2 linked regions of the Coturnix japonica genome follow. The main gene of each other region encodes a partner of the protein of the gene in region 2 in a complex. Links are inferred from orthologs where the notes say so. Each region holds a gene or a part of one and is shown on either strand. Other genes may lie near its edges.

Evidence for each region. Proteins that work in one complex are often made in the same cells at the same time.
Region 1: SMARCC1 (region 2) and PHF10 share a complex: the UniProt entries of both Homo sapiens proteins name them as parts of the neural progenitors-specific chromatin remodeling complex. The link is inferred for Coturnix japonica from reciprocal best matches to the Homo sapiens genes SMARCC1 and PHF10.

Annotation. Positions count from the first base shown.
Region 1 is NC_029518.1:36,963,931-36,967,585, forward strand, and holds part of PHF10 (PHD finger protein 10), read left to right. Parts: intron 1-119; coding exon 120-273; intron 274-2,690; coding exon 2,691-2,846; intron 2,847-3,655. UniProt on the Homo sapiens protein: Involved in transcription activity regulation by chromatin remodeling. Belongs to the neural progenitors-specific chromatin remodeling complex (npBAF complex) and is required for the proliferation of neural progenitors.
Region 2 is NC_029517.1:723,686-727,340, reverse strand, and holds part of SMARCC1 (SWI/SNF complex subunit SMARCC1), read right to left. Parts: coding exon 3,639-3,655; intron 2,813-3,638; coding exon 2,659-2,812; intron 2,011-2,658; coding exon 1,897-2,010; intron 1,469-1,896; coding exon 1,409-1,468; intron 1-1,408. UniProt on the Homo sapiens protein: Involved in transcriptional activation and repression of select genes by chromatin remodeling (alteration of DNA-nucleosome topology).

The DNA of each region.
Region 1 (3,655 bases), on a different chromosome or scaffold from region 2:
AGGAGGGTTGGAATTATTTACATTTCTTACTCTTTCTCTCTAATTCTCATACATATTTTGTGAGTAATATCTACGCATAAAGCGCACAGGCATTCATTTATTTATTTTACTACCTTCAGATATTCTCCAGATGAACTTCGTTACTTACCATTAAACACAGCTCTTTACGAACCCCCTTTGGATCCAGAGCTGCCTGCATTAGACAGTGACGGGGATTCAGATGATGCAGAGGAAGGGCGAGGTGACGAGAAACGGAAAACCAAAGGCAATTCGGTGAGACACATTGAAAGTATTCTTCAACAACAAAAATAATCCTTTCTATTTGCTTTTTTTTTTTTTTTTTTTTTTAGTTTCAGTAATTTCCTATTACAATCTTTTAACTTTTGCAAAATGAAGTAGAATTGTAAACTCAGAATACCCACCTTTTTAGTACTTCTCTTTATTTTATAACATTTCTCTTCAACTTTCCATTTTACTCTGTTTTTAAAGTAAGTCAAACAAATCTCTGGAATATCAGGCCCTTTTTTTCTTCTTTCTAAATAAGTTTTGAAGAACCTTCCTTATAGCCTTTTCCTCAGGTGATAGATCTGTCTGCTGGCATTTCTGAGAGGAGTGAATTTCAGTTCAGTTCGCAGCATGTTTTTGCTATTTTAGTTTCATAGAATGTATCCTATTACTAAAGGAAAGGACTTATTAGTCTTGCTTACTTTGTTTCCCTGTGAAGTAGAAGCAGGAAGCATTAAATACAGAAACAGTTATTTTATTGCTGCAGCTTAAAGGAAAGGTTGAAGGCAGTTTTATTGTTGCTTTTTGATACATCTTTAGTAGGTGTATGTGTTCTTTTTACTTAAGCAAACTTCAAATTAATTGTTACTAGAATATAAGCAAAAGTTTCACATACCTACCTTGGTAGTGTTAAACAGTTGTGCTTCAGATGAGCTATCTGGGTACGACTAAATAATTATCATTTTGGTGTTGTTGTTGTATTGGTACTGACCATTTTGTAGAAATTGAGCCCTAATTCTCAGATTCACAGATGCATTTAACAATTTCTAGTTCAGCTGACTAAAATGGTATAGTGGGCAATTGATAGAAGGTAAAAAGTGAAATTTCTCCATAGGAATATATATTGTTAAATATTCACAAAATACTCGTAACTAAAGAAGAATGGAAGGGGTCAGCTTGTAGACTAGCGAGTGGTAGTGTTAATATGCCCTTTTTGCTTCTATTCTGGGGAAAGAGAAAGTAAACTTAGCATGTTACATTTCAACACAAAAATTTGATTTAATCATAGTCCAGGTTGTGGAGCTTTTTTGTTTGTTTATTTGTTTTAATAGTTGGTCTTTAATCACCTCTTACTAGTTCCCATTTCTATTGGCTTCCACTTTTATTTAATGGCAAAGAAAAGTAATTGGACTGAGGAGATTATCCTTTCATTTTCCACAGAAGTTCAGATGGCTTTTGATGAGAGAGCACAGAAAGGAAAATGTGCTTCTGTGTGAAAGATGAAGGAGATTCTTATGAAGTGAGTTTGGTATAGAGCAGGGCTTCTTTAGTAATCATTGAGCAAAATATCTGTTGAACGCAAAAGAAGGCAGTTCTCAAGTCTCTTCCTGAGTCCTGAGCTGCCTACCATTCTCCCTGTTGAGTCCTATGATATGCCTTTTCCTTTTATCCCCTCTCAATTGTTGGAGTAAGGTAGCAGTTTCCCTGATCTATTGTGTTTTAGTGGACTTATCCTAAATAGCCCTGCCACAATTAAAATAAATAAATAAATAGAAAACACCCATCAGCTGTGAAACCTGCATTCTTTTTACCATGTAGTTAGCTTTGCTTTTCTGTTATACTCCTCCTTTTGTCCTATGTCTGTTGTTTGGATTTTAGGTTCTGGGGCATAGGCGGATTACTCTGCACAGAGTGCCTATTACTGTAAAGCACCATTGTTACATGGCCTTTCAGTTTTTAGTGCAAGAAATGTGATTGATTGTATTGTTTTCTGCTGGAGCTTTTTGGAGGCCTTTATTAATGCTTCTCTGAGAACAATCTTGTGCTGCTGCTCTCAGTTATGCTTATGTTGGTCTCTCACTTTCTTTGAACCTCTTCCCCTTTTTCTTACCTTCCCATTCCTCAAAAAAAATATTTAACTGCAGCATGAAATCTATGTTTGGTTCTGCATTAAACACTGAAGCATGTTTTGCCTTTGGCATTCTTCTGCTGCAATCAACATGAAATGTTTAGGGTGCTCCTGGTGGAAAATATGAGATGAGGGTGGCAGAAAAAAACCTTCACATATTTAATTTGAGATAGTGCTGTTTGGTAATACACTTTAAATGCATGGCCAGGGCACTTTTAACTTTTGCTGGCCCTTTGTAATATAAACAACATCTTGCATATAGTTGATTTCTTGCTGACTTTCAAAGGAAAATGGTTCAAAGAACTAGTGTATCCCACTATGCTATCAAGATAACTGAAAAAGCATTACTGTTATTGCTGATGCCAGTCTCTTAGCATGAAAACAAACAGATAAAGAAGGTTATGAGAAAAGATGTTCTGTATCGTGATGTACCCTGTGCTTTTGTAGAAGGAAAGATATATCCTTCTTTTACCTTAGTTGGCTCTAAGGGCCATACAAAAGACTTGTCTGCCTATCCAAAAAAGTAAAAAATATAGCTATGGTATTTTCATTATAGGACAATTCGTCTGGCAATGTATCTGAAGGTGATTGCGCCACAGACAACCAGGAGGATTCTTTTCAGGGAAGACAAAAAACAAGAGACAAAAGTGCTACTCCAAGAAAAGATGGTTCCAAACGTTCTGTATTATCCAAATCAGTTCCTGGGTACAAGGTAGAAGAAAAAAGCCCCTGACTGAACATCTTTATTGACCAGCCTCTCCCTGAACTACTTGTTTTTCAGTATTACGGAACTTCTGCTTGCTGTACTTCACTCGCTGCTCTCCTGTTGTGTGCTCCATCTGTTTGCTTCCTTACTTCCTTTTTGCTTTTATTTCACATGGGCCTCTCCTGTACTCTAGCTATACAGCGGCCTTTGTTTCTGTTAACTTCTCCAATTCCTAGGCAGTTACACTAGAAAAATCCATTGTGGTTTGGTCGTTGGAACTCTAGATCTTTCTGTCTGCCTTGACATTGACATGCCAGTCAGAATTACTTGCCAGTTCAAAACTAGCACTTGGTATCCGTTATTTTTTTTGTACTGTTTAGTACATACCTAGAGGTCAGTGCTGTAAAGTGCAGCTATGTGGCTGAACATGTTATTATAATGTTCATTTTAAACAGTCTTTCATCTTGAGATATTATGATGTATAGGATGAAAGGCAAGAAGCTTGCTACAGCTGTACAGGCAACACTACATAACCACTTTAACACTATATGGAAGAGAGCTTTTTATGTAGTTCATACTATGTGGAAAAGTTTGTAGGCAATATGCTTTTATCTGACTCGGTTAGGATGTTAATACAATTGAGCTATAAAGCAGCAATTGCCAAACCTAAGACCCAAATCATCAGTATTACTGGAGAATAATGTAAAAAAAAAATAAATGAGATGGCAATAGGTTGATTAAAAATACTTTTTTTTTAGAAAAAACGGAAATTGACAAGCATTATCATTATTGTTTTTCTGCTTAACAAGAAGTGT
Region 2 (3,655 bases):
CATCACACATTCCCTAAATCCATCCCACCACGTGTCATCACATCCCCACTGCAGCCACTCAGCACATCAGATCGAGTGCTGCGTCCTGCAGCCACGTGAAAGGTTTCTACTCATTCTCCTTCACTCCCTGGTAGATTTCTGTAGTCCTATTAGGAATAGCTGAGAGCTCTGGAACACCACGGAGGGGCAGAGCAGTGGGGCAGGCAGGGAAAGCCAACCCCTCCCATTGCTCAGCCAACAGGAGGAAGGATGGGCATTATTTGAGATGACTATTTTAGGTACCATTTGCTCTTTGGAACTGCACCACACAGATATTTGCCCAAAGCCGCCCCGAGGATTTAATTGGACCAAGCTGCCTCGTTACAGCTGCATTACTTACGCTTGAACTGATATTCTCTCTGTACTGATTAATTCATAGGTTAAATCCACAAAGAATGAGGAACATTAATAATTGAAACTCGCATTAAATACATTTGCAATCTCAAGGCTTTGTTTGTTTTCCTAAAAGAAAAATGAATATGCTGCCTGGATTACTTCATGAGGTGGCTGCTTGCTGTGTGTGAGGCACCAGCATTTCCTATCAGGAACAGGAGTAAAAGAAGGCAGCACATTGAGATTAGCCCTGCCAGAACAGCACATCCTCACTGTTCTCCCCCATAAGCAAAGTCCTTCCCCAGGCCGAATGGAGCAGTGTGCAGACTGACAGCCACACCTGGAATGAATTAACGTGCTGGATGCAAGGGCTACCAAATTAAAAGCTTCCTTTATTAAGAGGCAGAGCACAGGAAAACAATCTGCGTGTTAAATAATTCAACTTCCAGAGCGGCTGTTTGCAGCTCCCTGTAACATGTTATGGCTTATTGGAGAGCCTGGAAAGATCAAGAGAACTTCTCCATGTTCTTACATGCAGATAAACCATTCCTTGAAGGGCACAGTGTGCTGCTAACTGCTGCTCAATGCAAAGACCTCCCTGCATTGCAAGACCTGCTCTCGACTCTGTGCAAACATATCTAAGCATTTAATTCCTGGGCTGTAGCTACAATCAGATAGAAGTGAACCTTAAAGAACATAATGTCCCCTCAGTACAAGATGCTTCCACTCTATCTGTGTAGCAGCAGCGCTCTGGTAGAGATGACGGACAAAGAAAGAGATACAGCTTCAAGGGAGAGCCCCAGCCTTTTACCAGCTCCAAAGGCACAGCAGCAGCAGGCAGCCTCGTGCACACACAGCTCCACCACCCATCCCTCCAGCTACGTCTGCCGGGTCTCAGAACTGCAGCAAAAAGGATGTTGTTGCCATCTGCCCCGACTTCAAAAGAACCCACTAAACCTCCGTGTCCATTTTCCTTACTGTATAAAATCCTACATGGTTTTGTCTCCTGGCCTTACATTTTCCCCCAGGAACTTACTTCTAACAGCAGCAGCGTCTCCTGCTCCGTCCATTCTCTTCCAGCACTGGCACCTTTACTCTATAAAAGATGAGGAAAACACAATTGTATTCATGACTGGGATTCCTCCAGCCCAAGTGCCAGACATTGCACTTTGCTGACAGATCCTGAGTTCTATACTCAAGATTCTGCTGAAAGATTCTTGGTTCTGTACTGAATTATTTGACACCTGGCTGACTTCGAAGCATTCAATTAAAATATCAAATAAGGATAACACAAATTCAGTGTCTGTAGACTGACAGCACTGAGTAGTTTGGGACAGGCACGTGGTCCTCTCCTTCAAAACTGTTTACCCAACATGAATACAGCGAGGCATCTCAGTGTCCTCCAGTGAGAACTGAAGTGGGAATCTGAGAGTAACGAGTCATTTCACTGTCATCTGGAGGAGGACAACTGATAGAACCCACTTAATAGAAGCCACAGGGGAACAGAAATCCAAACGCACTTACCTTTGCTAAGGTCTTTTTTGAGTAAATATCTGTGCGCAGCCCAAAGTTCTGCAGGTCAGTGGGTTTCTCTTTGTTCTTCTCAGGAAAACTCAGCATCTGCTGAGCAGCTGGGATCTGTGAGCAAACATGAAAGGAAGGACGGAGTGTCAGGAGCTGAAAGGGATCCCCCAAGTTTACAGACAAAGGTTGAGCACAACACAGAACCAACAAAACAGCTCAACATGATGAGTTATGGAGATGTCTTTACACAGCATCAGTGCGGATCTGATTCAGGAGAGGAGGCTCCACGGAGACCTCACTGCAGCCTTCCAGTACTTGAAGGGAGTGTATAAACAGGAGGGGGAATGGCTTTTTGTGAGGGTGGGCAGCGATAAGACAAGGAGGAATGGTTTTAAACTGAGACAGGGGAGGTTTAGGTTGGATCTTAGGAGGAAGCTTTTCACCCAGAGGGTGGTGATGCACTGGAACAGGTTGCCCAAGGAGGCTGTGGATGCCCCATCCCTGCAGGCATTCAAGGCCAGGCTGGATGTGGCTCTGGGCAGCCTGGGCTGCTGGTTGCTGACCCTGCACACAGCAGGGGGTTGGAATGCGATGAGCACTGTGGGCCTTTTCAGCCCAGGCCAGTCTATGATATGATACGATATGACTCAACTGACCCATTCTGAACTCATGAACACCTTCCATGAGCAACATGTGCAGACTCTCCTGCACGACACTGACCAGAGCTGCCACCTCCCACCCCCAGGGCACTGCAGGGCTCACCTGTGGGGTACGGATGTGCAGAGGCATGAGGCCGGAGGGTGTATCGGCCAGCACGTTGAAGTGAGGGGTGGGAGGAGGGCCCATGGCCATGGGGCGGCTCTCCGGGTCCACCTGGTAGTTGATGAGACCCCACTGCTCCAGAAAAGCGTGCACTCTGAAACAACAGGACAAACCCACATCTTAAGAAACAAAGCAAGACTGCAAAGACAGCCAAGGAATGGTTGGTTTTGGATCAGATTGGCTCATCACCTCCTACAGACCTTCACTGATCACAAGAGCAATAAATATGGCATACTGTGTGGACTTGATTACCTCTCCAGCATGACACCTAGCATATAGCACGGGAACAGAACAACAGGAAATCTATTTAAAGATGAAGTAAAGCTCAGGCTGCATATGTGGAGCCATCTGCAGACATCATACCAATGTGAGGGCTGCACAACCCCTTTCTTCTCTCACCCACCTGTAGCTGTTCATATTGGATCTACCATCAGCAAGTTCTGAGATTTCAGGGCTCTGCTGCACCTCACAACTTAAATCTGGTGAAACACAGCAAACCAACCAAACTGAACTGCAGACCCAGGAACTCTGAAATGAACTCCACACGCTTAATAAAGAGCAGACACTAAAGGTTAAGACCCCAACTCTGTAGGTTCACCGAGCACCCAGAACTCCATAAATAAAGGACAGTATAACATACTCTGGTTACAAGAGGAGGCTGAACAGACTGCTAAAGTGACAGCACAATGGCTACTGGATGGATGGGCCAGGCTGGATGGGCTCTGAGCAACTTGAGCCAGCTGTAGTGCCCCTGTTCAGTGCAGGGGAACTGGACTAGATGACCTTAAATGGCCTCTTCAAACTCAATTGATTCCGCTACCCACACCTATCCTGCCTACCAGAGCATTTCCATTACCAAAGCCGCGCTATTTCCTTTTCTTCTAATGCAAGCACTGGCTGAAAGATGGATGTTCCCTCACCTCATGACAGCACACAC